2 linked regions of the Arabidopsis thaliana genome follow. The protein of the gene in region 1 interacts with the protein of each later gene in a biochemical or structural test. Each region holds a gene or a part of one and is shown on either strand. Other genes may lie near its edges.

Region 1 (6,754 bases):
AAGGATTAAAATACCTTGAGCCTATCGATGGAGAAAGCAGGGTTCAAGATTCTTCTATGGCGAACCCAATCAGCACCTTCGATAAAGACAAGTCCTTTGGAGCCGACAAGTTTAACAGCCTCAGGTCTTGCCTTTGATTTGACAAAGAAACCTAACTTGTTCGACAACATAGTTTTTGCAAGTTCAGGATCTGAGATGCATATCCTTGGCTCTGTTCCGTTCCAGTAAAGAAAAGTCTCTCCTAATAATATATAACATAGATAACTTGTGTGTTACGCATTATCCTCGAATAAAATCTAAAATAAAAGATGAACAAAGAGAGAGTTGGAGAAAACGACACCGTATTGAGACATCCATTTTTGATAATGAGGAAGAATACGAGGGAAAATATCATTGGAGCTAGGATCAAGAATCGAAAGATGAGATTCTCTCTTCATCTTCTTTATCTCGCTGAGGTTTCCGTAAAAGATTCTGTAATTTGGGCCTGAGATTCCTTGGTTTTTGAGTCTTCTGGTCAACACAAATGGATGCCAAACAAGAATCATAAAAGCTTTGAATATCCTGAGACCAATAATAAGGATTAAGACAATTAGTGCCAAGAAAATTACGAGCCCCATGGAAAAGTTTTTTTTTCCTTATGTTTGTGTGTGTGTATTGTTGTTCTTGGTTAGGTGTTTTAAGTTCTACACTATATAATGACATGCACATATAACTTTGTAAAATAAGTCTATGGCCAGTGAATGAAACACTATCTAAACACTACATGAAGTTAGCACAAACACGTCTGTTTATTTTCAATTTGAGAACAAACAAAAAGTAATTAATAAAGTAAAATGTGTCTTATATATGGTATGATGATAGAGTAGATTCTAAATATGCCTATAGCACATATTTGTTACGTAATAAGACAATTATAGAAAGTATATAAAAAATGAGTGGATAAAAGAAAAATATAAAATTACTCATGAAAGCTAAGTAATCCTTTTGGGAGAATAATTTAGTTTTAGCATTCATTGTATCTTAGGTTTACTGTTTCTGTATCTTTAAAATAATCCGGCATGGACAATGAATCAATGATTTGTTGTTAACATATCATTGTGAACAAAATACTTGATGAACTAATTGTTTGGAGAGTTAATTTGGTATTTGAATTCAAACGAAAATGTTATAGAAATAGAAGTACAACATTGTGAAAATAAATAAACAAAGATGAGAGATATTTATCAACCAACGGTGCAATGTGATGGATCGTGACATCGAATCTTAAAATGAAACACTTTTTCGTTTGTTATCTACTTTTGCATGGTTTCATATTTAAAGGAAGTGGTTGAAATTTTATTTCTATACTAAAAGAATTGGTTTAGACTTAACTATCCACTTTCTTTAAGTATCATGTTAACTCATGAAATAAGAGTCATCTATTTTTAAAAGAGAATCTTCACATTGATTTCAAGTTTTCAACGCACCTGACGCTAAAATATCAGAAATTCAATGTGTGAGTCTCATCTTCATCACACTATTGCACTCCCTTGTTTTCGTGTTTGAAAAAGCCCAATTAATTTTTTAATGTTTGAAAAAAGAAAGAATAAAGTAGATATTAGTCCACTAAAAAGCCCATCAAGCCCAAGTTTTGTAGTACTTTACTCAATCTCATCATTGAGATTGTTCCTTAATCCCAAAAACATGGCAAAATTCGTTTCAAATTACGATTTAGGTCAAATGAGTTGTCTTCATCTTAGTTGGGTTTGCGTTAAAATCGGTTTATCGTAATTGAACACTCATCATCATCCATCATTATGCAATTGCACGTCCTCTACTTATAACTTTGTTATAGAGTCTATGATAACTTATATTTGTTATATTTTACTTTGTACATCCACTTTGAAAATAGTTGGAATTAAGTTCAAATCGTTCCAAGAATCAAGGCCCAAAAGCCCATAGACTAACAACACAGAGTAGACGATCATTTTTTTTTGCTTAAAGTTAGTTAGTTGGAGAAAACATCAACTTTCTACAAATCATTAGTTTGGCGAGCGATAATAACTAAAACCGTTGCTTCCTCTATATTGCATTGCATCTTCTAAGTTTGAGGCGGACGCAGACTTTGGGAATTGAGTAAAAGAAGTAGCCTGAGTCTGAGAAACACACGAAGGCACCACGAATGGCTGAGAGCAATTTTCCAATGGAGAAAAGATAGGAGTGTTTGGAATTAGTCCACTTGGGTGATTAAGAAAGCTTAGCATTTGTGGTGGTGCATTGTTCATCCCCGGAAAACCGGTTGCTTGAACATTCATAGGCAGGAATTGCGGTATTGATGTTGGTGTTGCTGCTGCACCCATATGCATTCCTAGACCCATGGGAGAGTAATGACCCATTGGCAACATCGTAGGTGGTCTTATTAATCCATTTCCCATACTCATCATCTGTAAATAATTATTAGAGCATGTTAATTAAGAATCTTATATATATGTAAAAAAATTTGTAGTAAAATAAATAAGGAATAAACTTTTGATTGTTTATTGATTAGTGTTTAATTACGTTTATAATTTGTTTTGGTTTCTCTTATGAAACTAGTTTCTAGTGACTTTATCAAGAATCATTCGTAAAGGTAAAAGCCAAACGCAATAATATTTGATAACAAAAACACTTTACAAAGTATATTTTAATGTTAAAAAACAAATTTATATGTAAATATAAACACAAGTCTGTGTTTAAATAATTAACACCTGAATCATTTTATTATCTCTCAATGAAATTTTATTGAATTGGTGTATTATTTTGAATACCTGAACTTGAAGTTGAAGGGTCCGCATATATTTGATAGCCTCATCCAACAATGAAGCCTTATCATCCTATCATCAACAATTACAGATATTCAGAAATCTCCACAAAGAGAAAATTAATTAACTCTCTAAGACTAAGTAAACAATGTAATGTGATTTAAGTTAATCTCAAACCTTGTAACAATTTGGTAGTAGGTCCTGCAAAGCACGCATTTTCTTGTTGAATTCATCTCTTCGTTTCTGTTAACAAATCCTTAATTAGCATTAATTTTCATACATTATTTTTTTTCTACTAACTAAGGTGAAATTTTCATACATATAAACTCACTCTTTCATATAACTTATGGACTTCTGTGCTTCGTTTTCTTTTAGTCACCGGCTTTCTTGTTCTCGCATGAACTTGTGTCTTCGCATCATCTGATTCATCATCTGAATTCTGCATAAGCAATAAGAAAAAGACAATTAATGATCTACCATGTGAAAGAACTAAGACAAGCAGCTAATTAATTTCTCTTACATTACTTAAATAGGTTGATTCTTCTTCTTCAATATCTCCATACTTCCTCTTTAAAGAACAACAACTTAGATCTCTCGAAGTTCCTCGAGAAAACTTCGATGAAGAAGCAAAATACAATTCCGTGGATCTACCAACAGCTGCAGATTGCTCATCAGGAGGAGCTGTAGTAACTTCAACATTCTTTGGACCTTTAGCAGAAACATCAATTAATGTTGATGATTCAACACATTTGTTGCTTTTCGAAACATTTCTCTCAAATTCGATTTTGGAGGACTTTAGCTTCTTCTTATTGTTGTTCATTTGTTCATTGGTTTCTTTATCTTGTTGTGGCTTAGACTGACTCACCGGAACAACTTGTGTGTCTCCAAGAATCTTGATGTTTTTCTTGAAACCCTCGCTGTACTCGGTCTCATACAAATCCAGGAGAGATTGCCTACGTTGCTTTTGAAAAGAACCGTTGTTCTTTGGTCTTCGAATCTTTGCAAGAATCTGCCCATTTTCACACACCAGCTCCATATAATCTTCATCTTTTAATCTGCAAGAAAAGAGTCACGTATAAATAACCTATTAACAAAAAAAAAATAGTCAGGAGAAGACAAAATTGTTTCAAGCACCGACAGAACCATAAGCGCCCATTATTTCAAAACCACGCATGTGTATATGTTTATAGAAGTCGCAAAAAGTGTAGATGAAACCATAATAAACTTACTTTGGTTTAATGTTTGATGATGGAGAAATCATGTTTGGTTCAGATGATGATGATGCTAAGGGTTTTGCTTCCATTGAAGTAAACTGAACAAAGCTTTCTTTACTTGTCTTTTTTTTTTTCCGGTTTTTGTGAATTGTAGAATCAGAGAGATTCGGACTTCACACTTTGGTTTTCTTTCTTGGGGTTAATGAAGAGCAGCATATATATATATATATAGTCGGTTGTATATATGTATATTCGCTTATTTCATTTATGATTGATTGATATGGAGGATTTGTTTTGGTCCACAACTCATATATTTATCCTTGAATCGTGATTATGACACAGTATGGAGAATTAGTACAAATTATTACCTTACAAACTTTGGTCGACTTCAAATGTTACATTTCAGATTTATAAAATTTACAGTTGCTTTTTTTTAATACAAAACGTATATATTTGTTTGTATATGTGAAATGAGTTTTCGCACGTTTTATAGAAAAAATATAATCATAAATTCATAATAACATAGACTATACTATATATACGCGATAAAGAGTAGTATAAGTATTCATGTTAATGTGTAAATCTTTCATTTTAAAACAAAAATATTGATGGAATAAATGAAAGAAGCAAGATAATGTATGGGCGATAGTGAAAGACAAAGAAATAGAGAGAGAGACATTCTTATGACCGACTTCTCTACTCTCCACCGCTCCATTTTTCTCTGCTTTCGGAAAAAGAATAGAAAAATTAAATAAAAATAAAGTCAAATCTACGATTGCAATTCCTTTTTTTTTTTTTTGTCTTCATCTAAAATGAGAAAATATTAAGCATGATCATTTTTTTAACGTCTGATCCGTGAATTTTACTTGAGCACAGTCAGATATATATATACATATATTTATATATGGTTTTGTGTATTTCCTTTTTATTTAAAAGGTCAGGAAAACACAATGTAGTAAATAGGAAAACACAAAAAAAATCACTCCCGATGATGCTCCAACAATAATGCAACTAGTATTGATTTTTTCGTCATGCAAATTCCTATAAGAACGTGTTCTTAGAAAGTTTAGGAATAAATTCCAAACTATGCAATGACAAAGCGTCCAACTGAACTTACTAAATAATCTCCAGTATTGGAACACACTATTTCTATATTATGTTCGTGTGTTATTTTTTTTATTGAAGATAAAAGTATTATCAATAAGTAATACGCATGTTCAATTGTTCACAATTAAAAAAGAAAGGTCAAAACTTAGGTAGACCGAAAAAAAATCAATAATGTTGTTATCAAAAATAAAACAAAACACTAGTAAAACTGTAGTGAGTGACATGCGAGAGAGACGGGCACAAAAGGCCCACGTGAGCGGAAAGAACCTTCACGCCATTATTAAGACATATATGGATGGGCCCTTTCTTAAAGGCTTTAGTTTTCTCTTTAAATGGGACCCACAATTAGGCTTTTTTTGGCCAAGTTCACGTGCACTTCACGTGAATGCCGCGTGATTCATCCACCCCTTTGTGTTATTTTGTCTCCCTCCCTTCTTTCTTGTTTGTTTCTAACGACTGCTACTATCTTGTCGTCTTCTCCATTTTTACCCTCTCGACACATTCTAAATTCTTTTACCGACCGTAAAAAAAGAATCCTCTGTGATTTGAGATCTCTCTATTTACAAACAAAATTATCTCTACCATGTTTTTATCATCACAGTAAAATTGTTGGGTCCAACATTTTATTTTCTGTTTCATTCGATTGATATCGAATTGTGACCATTCTTTGTTCAGTTTGGTTTTGATATTCAATATGAAATACATCTCTGTTAAAGTAAAATATTGTAATTAAAATTCACATCAACGTCTGCAAAATATTCTGGTTTTTAAAAGAAAAATGTTTGGATTGGTTTTGCTTCGATATATATCAAGATATCAATAACCTAATTAAAAGTTGTTGGTTTAATAAAAAATATCTGCAGTTGCTGGCAAAAATAAATTAAAAAGAAACCTTCAAACTGCTATATAAAATAAGGCTCTATGATATAAGTAGTTTTGTAGTGGTTCAGTGAACAATAAACTATTCTATACGAATACGAATCAATGACAATGAGTCAAAGCATCATCTACTATATCTTCTTTATTCGCCTGAACTCATGAGACCACTAAACCAAAGGCTGGTTTTGCTTGAGAGGTTTTTCTTTCCTGGTTAACACAGTTCGTCTAGTTTATGTTTTAAAATGGAGAATAACGACGTACGTGTGGTTGATTGATTCTGTGAGACTCAGTGTCAATCATCCCTCAAACATTCTGCGACAATCATCTTCAGCTGCAGCATCTTTCCTCTCGCAGACTGTAAACCAATACGTCATTTTTAAGTTGTGCTTTTGAATTCATGATTTAACCATTTTTAGAATCTGACTCTTAAGAAGCAGAACAATGACTTGCCTTGTTTACAGAATCGATTCTTTTGGTCGCATCGTCCAGTTTTGTCTCGATGCCTCCTTCAAAATGTGCAATGAGTTTTTGGTGTGATGTTCCTGTCATAGAGAGATAAAAAGTTATCAAGTGAGTTTAGGAAATACTTGTCCTCCTGCTATTATTATATTAAAACTATCTTGCCATGAAGAATCTAACTTTGATAACATCATATGTTTCAAGTATTTCTAGTGTTAGAATTCGTTGTAGTAAAAGCAGGAATTACAGAAGTTAACATACTTTGCTTCTTTATGCTTCCTTTCAGCTCTGACTGGTTTGCTTCAAGCTCTTCGA
Region 2 (7,771 bases), on another chromosome or scaffold:
TTCATCTGTTCTAAAATCTGGCAGGACTCTCTCACCCTCCTAGTCCTTCCCAAACAAGAGAGCAAAATGTTGTAACTCATAGACGTAGGTTGGATTTTGTAAGACCTCATCTCCAACATAATATTCAAAGCTTCAGGAACAAGCCCAGACGGGTTTCGATTCACGTTTCTTTCGCAAAGGCAGGTCAGCAACGAGTTGAAACAGAACAAATCCGGTGTAATCCCTGCTGATTTCATATCTTGTATAACTCTTCTTGCTTCCTTCACGTTTCTTTGTACCGACCACCCGAATAAAAGACTTCTATACACAGACAATTCATTCCCGGATATTACATCCTTGTGATGATGCATAACTCCCAATGCTCTCTTCACATGTCCTCTGGAACAAAGAGCGCTTATAATAGCCGTCACAGTGAAACCATCTTGTGGGCAAGAAAATTTGTCCAAGATCTTGAAGATACCTATTGCATCTTCTTCCTTACCAACCTTAACCAGAGTTTCAGCGACAATGCTAAACGTTTGCTTGTCCATCGCCCGATTCTCCTTCCTGAGATCTGATAAGAGTATCTGCATAGCTGTGTGATCCTTCTTCTCAGCCAAAACTCTTAGGACATAGTTGAATTCCTTGTCGTGTAAACTAGATCCCAAGCTTTTACACGACCAGGAGAAAAACCTCAACAGCCTTCTCGGTGAAGTCTCGTTCTTGCAAGACTCAATCACTTGGGTAACAAGGTTTGATGATGGAGAAACAGAAACCTGGTTCAAGTTTTCTTCAAGGTCATCTAGACCACCAACTGGAGAAGAAACTATCCGAATAACTTCATGCAACGCCGTTTCCGATCGGTCAACTAAATGGTGAGAGCAAAAGTAACGTGTCAGTTTTGCAGTACTCGTTAGATACGTAAACCTGTTTAATCTGACTGTGGTGGACATCATCTTCTCTGAGGAATTTCATCAAACACTTGATATGCGTATGCTTCTTAAAAGCCGCCAAATATAAACCATAGAAGGGACTCTCTCCTGACTTACATGTTTCTCAGAGTATTTACAACTTCGTTGTAAATTCTTTCAGCAACATGAAATTCAGATTTCTATTAAAAGACCTAAATTTGCAGATTTCATGAGATCGCTCGGCTCAACAACAATATATATTCATTTGTTGGAAACATTGCCCGCGTGTCTGAAAAGGGCATTTTAGTCTTTTACATTCCATCACGCTTCAAATTCAGAACCGGATAAAACCGATAATCGTGAGATACGATGGTTATAACTTATAAGTCACTAACCGGAATGATTACTCTCGAAGGCCGCCGATGCATATTGGAAAATCGAACTCCCGATAAAATAGTTCTGAAATTACACGAATAATTAACATCATAAAGTCATAAACAAGTTATTGGTCAATGGTCGATGGCAAAACGTAATAAAAGTTGGACCGGGACAAAACGTGTCTTACGGTGGATGAAGTTGAGAATATATCATGCATTATTGGTCCACTTGTACTAACGATATTCGCAGCTACTAATATGAGCCAATCGGTAATACGAAATATTTTAGCTTGTCGACTACTTACTTTCTATATAAAAGTTTAGCCTACTAATTATCTCTTTTTATGATTATGACAACTTGATTATTTGTTTCCCAACCACTGATGATGAGATTAACCATCTTTTTTGCTAAGAAGGTAAATATTTCATCTTGCTAATGTCCTGTTTACAAGACAATTTGCACACATACACTTATAACATTAGAAAAAAACACTTGAAACTTTGTTACAACATATCATTTAGCTTGATTTTTCAATCACTTTAAGAAGTTAATGAATCATAATGCCTAAATAAGTCCTCTATAACAACCATGAAAGGAGTGTTATATCTATAACCCTGTGCTTTTAGAAAGAATCATAATTTTTAGGAGTCTTTTGTGATGAGAAATTGAGATGTAATAAAAGTAAAATTTTCTATATCTGTATCTTTCGTTTTTTATTTTTATTTTGTTTGTATCTTTAATTCTTCAGTACCTAAAGATAACAGAAAAATAAAATTCTGATAATAGATTTTCTTGTTGTTATAAATATATTTTAATAAACGAAACGAAGCCGAATCCTAAAATTTGGTTTCTGATGGTTTGGTCTGATCTGGTCATATATTTTAAAAGAATTTGCAATTTTTTCTTTCTGTCGACCTTTTGATATGTTTGTTGATTTTGATATGGAGATGCATCTTCTTATCTTGTATCTTACCACAATAATATCAAAAACAAAAATAAATATCATGAGATATTTTCTCCAAGATGACGTGGCCTTTTCTCTATCTCAACCAAACTATCCAACACAACCTTTTTTTTTATGGCCTGCACTTTTTATTGTCCACGTCATCTCCTTGGCCTAAAATATCCCAAGTCCCACCATTAAGCTACACAACAACGCGTAAGAAAAAGACTTAATCTCCACCGTCCAATTCTATCCTCTTTCAACGGTCTCTGATTTACCATCTCTCTCTCTCTTTTTCGCGTCTCATAATTTGACCATTGATTGACAAAACAAAACAATGAGTCTTCTTTCTCTTCTCACTCTTCTTGTCGGAAATTCACCTTCTCTCTCTCTCCTCCTCATCTCACCGCCGGCGTTACGCCGGATCTCCGGTGACTTTTGTTGAGCTTTTTTGTTGATTCATGATTCGATATAGAGAAAAAAGAATTTCCTATTTCAGCTCTTTGTTCTTAGATTTATCTTTTTGTTTGTTCTTATGGATAAAGGATTAGGTTGGGGGATTAAAAGAGTAGTTTTTGTTTGGTTGTGAGATTACTTGACTTTGTTAAGGGGATAAATTAGGCGACTTTGTAGGGACACTGTACCGAAAAACCCTAGTTCTGATTTGGCCATGGAAGTATCATAGCACTTACTATTGTCGGCTTTACTTCTTCTACTTTTGTATAATCCTTTTTTTTCTTAGGTTCTGTGATTAGATATTTTTTTTGTGTGGGTTTAGTTGTTAATCTGATCATGGATTTGAACGGTGAGTGTAAAGGAGGAGATGGGTTTATTGATAGAAGCAGAGTCAGGATTTTGCTTTGTGACAATGATTCCACGAGTTTGGGAGAGGTTTTTACTCTCCTTTCAGAGTGTTCTTATCAAGGTATGATTTATAGGTTTGTCCTTGTCTTGTTCCCAAAGTTTCTCTTTTTACTTTGTTATTTTTTGCTAAGTTGGGATTACTACTTTAGATTGCAGATCTCTTATAGGTTCTTGTCGTCTGGCTTTTTGAGTCAGTATGGTCAGATGTGATCAAGATGACATTTTTAACCTTTGTTGATTTTAGTACCTTATTGATAGTTTTTGAATGCATCTCTAGTGTGTATTGCTTTCTATTTTTACACTATGCTCAACTGTTTGTTGTTCAAGACTCAATGATGATATATTGGATGAATTGTTTTTATTCTTTTTGGAATGCAGTGACTGCAGTGAAATCAGCAAGGCAGGTGATTGATGCACTTAATGCAGAGGGACCTGATATCGATATAATACTGGCGGAAATTGATCTCCCAATGGCTAAGGGTATGAAGATGCTGAGGTACATCACACGAGACAAAGATCTTCGCAGAATCCCTGTGATAAGTAAGCTGTGTTCTTTGTTGCTCTTCTCGTTTTATTATCTATTCGTGAAGTTGTATCTTCTCTGCTTATCAAAGTGCTTTTGACAGCATGATCATTAGCTTTATACTGACTAATCTTATAATATTCTCAATTTAAGTGATGTCGAGGCAAGACGAAGTCCCTGTCGTTGTAAAGTGCTTGAAGCTAGGTGCAGCTGACTACCTTGTGAAGCCTCTTCGCACCAACGAGCTTCTGAACTTGTGGACACACATGTGGAGAAGAAGACGCATGGTTTGTTTTGCTTGTCTCAAGTTCTCTCTATTTATCTTACTGTTTTTGAGCAATACTTGATAGCCATATCTCTCAATCTGTCGTCTTCTGAAATAAAAGACCTTGATGCATGAAGTTAATGCTATTGATTTCATATATTTGTTTTGGCAGCTAGGACTTGCTGAGAAGAATATGTTGAGCTATGATTTTGATCTTGTGGGATCTGATCAAAGTGATCCAAACACAAATAGTACCAACCTGTTCTCTGACGACACAGATGATAGAAGTCTTAGGTCCACCAACCCACAGAGAGGAAATTTAAGTCACCAGGAAAATGAGGTGAGAAAGTATTTGACAGTTTAAAGCCCTCTGAAAATGGAGAAGAACTGATTTTTTAGCTTGCGCTCATGCTTTTGCTGGTAGTGGTCTGTTGCTACTGCTCCTGTTCATGCTCGTGATGGTGGTCTTGGTGCTGATGGAACAGCCACTTCTTCTCTTGCTGTTACTGCTATAGAGCCTCCATTGGATCATCTTGCTGGGTCTCACCATGAGCCAATGAAAAGAAATAGTAATCCAGGTGATTGTTTCTCTTTGATGTCTCACTTTCTAATAGCTAGTCTCTAAAAGAACCTTTGTTTTAGTGAATTCTAATATAGTAGGGGTTTTGCAGCGCAATTTTCTTCAGCACCGAAGAAAAGTAGATTGAAGATCGGAGAGTCCTCTGCTTTCTTTACATATGTCAAATCTACTGTCCTTAGAACTAACGGTCAGGATCCTCCTCTTGTCGATGGAAATGGCTCACTTCATCTTCATCGGGGTTTGGCGGAGAAGTTTCAAGTGGTGGCTAGTGAAGGGATCAACAACACCAAACAAGCACGCAGAGCAACACCAAAATCTACTGTCCTTAGAACTAACGGTCAGGATCCTCCTCTTGTCAATGGAAATGGCTCACATCATCTTCATCGGGGTGCGGCGGAAAAGTTTCAAGTGGTGGCTAGTGAAGGGATCAACAACACCAAACAAGCACACAGAAGTAGAGGGACCGAGCAATACCATTCTCAAGGAGAGACCTTGCAGAATGGCGCCAGCTATCCACATTCCCTTGAGCGGTCACGCACGCTTCCCACATCAATGGAATCTCATGGTAGGAACTACCAAGAGGGCAATATGAATATTCCCCAAGTTGCTATGAACAGAAGTAAAGATTCGTCTCAAGTTGATGGATCGGGTTTCTCTGCACCAAATGCCTATCCTTACTATATGCATGGGGTCATGAACCAAGTTATGATGCAATCAGCAGCCATGATGCCTCAATATGGTCATCAAATTCCTCATTGCCAACCAAATCATCCGAATGGAATGACGGGATATCCTTACTACCACCACCCAATGAACACATCTTTGCAGCATAGTCAGATGTCTTTACAGAATGGTCAGATGTCTATGGTTCATCATTCTTGGTCACCGGCAGGAAATCCGCCTTCTAATGAGGTGAGGGTAAATAAACTTGACAGAAGAGAGGAAGCTCTGCTGAAATTCAGACGTAAAAGGAACCAACGTTGTTTTGATAAGAAGATTAGGTATGTGAATAGGAAACGCCTTGCTGAGAGGAGACCCCGCGTTAAGGGTCAGTTTGTTAGGAAGATGAACGGCGTGAATGTTGATTTAAATGGACAGCCTGACTCTGCTGACTATGATGACGAGGAAGAGGAGGAAGAAGAAGAAGAAGAGGAGAACCGGGATTCATCTCCTCAGGATGATGCTTTGGGAACTTGAAGATACACCAAGAACTGAAAACCGTTGTGTTATACGTATTTGCTTGCATCTTATCAAACAACAGAAGATGTTGATCGACTGACACGAAAAAGATGATACTGCTACAGCCAAAAAAACATCGAATATCGAGTTGTCTCTAAGGCAATGTTGGCTCTTGCGGCTCAACTTTTTGACAGAGCATTGAAAAGCTCTCATTGGGTTTAGCTTAGTTCGTTGATAAACATATAATGTATTTTATCATGTTCACTCACATTCTCTCAGTAAGTACTCAGATGTATTAACCTTTCTTCTCCTTCCAGTATCATTTACTTGAATCTTGTTTTTCCCTCGCTCTCTCACCTGTGTTTACATATATAATTATATATAATCGCTCCATGTCTTCCACCACTAAAGCTTCTGTCTTTCCTCGGAAAAACACAATACAAATGCAATTGTGTCACAGACAAGAAGCATATGAAAATCTAAATTTGGATTTAAGTTATCTGAAACTAAGAACATAATCAGCTGTATATCTACTGTCAGGAACAACAGTTCTGTGTTTCTTTCATGACTACATAAATAAATCTCTACAGTCCACTAAACTCTGATTTCTTTAATTCTCTGTGGTGCTATTGAGTAAGGTCCACTAATGTATAACAAGCTTTCTAGCAACTAGACGGATTCCGGCTCTCTGCTGATAATCATATGGCTCCAGAGACAAGAAAGCGTCAAGAACAGTTCTCGGATTCAACAAAGACTCAATCTCTTCAGCCTTGGGGTTGCTAGAAATGAGTTTCTGAGTAGCAGTAGCTCCAGAGAACTCTTTCTGGTGTATCTCAGCTGCGTACCGATCTATATCTCCATTTAACTCTGTGGGTATACTGCACATACAAAGAAATAATCAGGAAAAAAAGCAAATGAAATAAGTAAAGGAGATATATAGGAAAACATACTGTATCCTTGCAGTGGGACAGTTCAGAAATCCTTTCATTGGAATGACTAGAGGGTTCCAGTCAGAACCACTGCCTGAATCAACAGATATTGTCTGTGCAGCACTGTCGCATTCTTGAAGTACGTTGCAGAGACTTGGATACAGATCAATTACAAAGTTCAACCTCCGTCTTCCAGCTTTATCCATAAATTTCCCATTGATTCCAAACCGTACTTTCAGACGAGGACAATGGAGCTGAAGGGGTCTGTCCCCAAGGAAGAGTTGCAGCTTCATTGTTTGGCTCCCGTCATATAGCGGGACATGAGTTGCTCTGATACTTGAAACAGATATTTTATCTAGCTCCATGAATCCTTCCTGGTCACCGGTACCTTCAGAGGCAACAGTCTCAGACTGCTGATTTTGTTCTTCTTCCATGGGAACATCTGATTGAAGAACTTCAGGGGCTATTTCGTTCCTCAAAGTGCTCATATCAAATGGATCCGTTTGAGCTTCTGCGGATGAAACAAATGATAAAATAGGTATAGTTGTCATGTTCTCTCCTGTCTGCTGATCAGTGGGAGATTGCAGAGGAGATTTTTTTATAGTCCTACGCCTTCTTGAACTAGTTTCAGGAGTAGTAGTAGTAACCGAGTTCTCTATAAGTTCATCTGGAAGACTTGACTCCTGTTGAAAAATGGCATGTTTCTGAATTAGCTCCTCATAGTTACATCACTAAAATCTATTCTACAGAGCGACAGGTACACACAACACACGATAATCCATCTCGAAGAAGTAAAGAGAGCATACCAAGAACAAAACAGTGGCACAATACTTGAGAACCTCGAAGTTCATCCTTACATCGTCCAGACTCCTTAAGAGATAGAAATAAACATAGTGTACAAAGCATTAGAACTCAACCGGCCTATTAAAACACCGTAATGCAAAAAAACTCACATATATAAATTACCTATGCGTCTGGTTTCCAAGTCCAAAGTATGTAGCCAAAGTCGCCATCTGTTCAAACAAAGGCCACAGGAAAACAGAATAAGGAACCATCAAAACCGCCAAATTCGAATTCCATCAAGCAAATTCAAAATACACAGATGAATATCAATCATGACTCTTTGAGTATACGAGAAGAAACCATCTCAAAACAATAAACAAGTCAGGACCAGAGAGCAAAATTGTTACCTTCATATCACCAGCTCTTCTCCCAAACCT

The links.
Region 2: the proteins of PIL1 (region 1) and TOC1 form a complex in vitro, tested with the Arabidopsis thaliana proteins (one study listed by BioGRID).

What each region holds. Positions count from the first base shown.
Region 1 is NC_003071.7:19,293,596-19,300,349, forward strand, and holds PIL1 (phytochrome interacting factor 3-like 1), read right to left. Parts: upstream 4,264-6,754; 5' UTR 4,084-4,263; coding exon 4,010-4,083; intron 3,943-4,009; exon of another isoform or gene 3,927-3,942; coding exon of another isoform or gene 3,919-3,926; exon of another isoform or gene 3,836-3,918; coding exon 3,301-3,835; intron 3,220-3,300; coding exon 3,112-3,219; intron 3,024-3,111; coding exon 2,958-3,023; intron 2,853-2,957; coding exon 2,787-2,852; intron 2,424-2,786; coding exon 2,022-2,423; 3' UTR 1,836-2,021; downstream 1-1,835. Other genes in the region: CYP709B1 (cytochrome P450, family 709, subfamily B, polypeptide 1), read right to left, coding at 15-241, 341-617; ASY3 (asynaptic protein), read right to left, coding at 6,273-6,335, 6,431-6,522, 6,701-6,754. UniProt on the Arabidopsis thaliana protein: Transcription factor. Involved in responses to transient and long-term shade. Required for the light-mediated inhibition of hypocotyl elongation. Necessary for rapid light-induced expression of the photomorphogenesis- and circadian-related gene APRR9.
Region 2 is NC_003076.8:24,672,537-24,680,307, forward strand, and holds TOC1 (CCT motif -containing response regulator protein), read left to right. Parts: upstream 1-2,426; 5' UTR 2,427-3,003; coding exon 3,004-3,136; intron 3,137-3,453; coding exon 3,454-3,615; intron 3,616-3,751; coding exon 3,752-3,885; intron 3,886-4,035; coding exon 4,036-4,203; intron 4,204-4,287; coding exon 4,288-4,441; intron 4,442-4,534; coding exon 4,535-5,640; 3' UTR 5,641-6,014; downstream 6,015-7,771. Other genes in the region: AT5G61370 (Pentatricopeptide repeat (PPR) superfamily protein), read right to left, coding at 1-935; AT5G61390 (Polynucleotidyl transferase, ribonuclease H-like superfamily protein), read right to left, coding at 6,266-6,500, 6,573-7,234, 7,358-7,421, 7,518-7,564, 7,742-7,771. UniProt on the Arabidopsis thaliana protein: Controls photoperiodic flowering response. Component of the circadian clock. Expression of several members of the ARR-like family is controlled by circadian rhythm.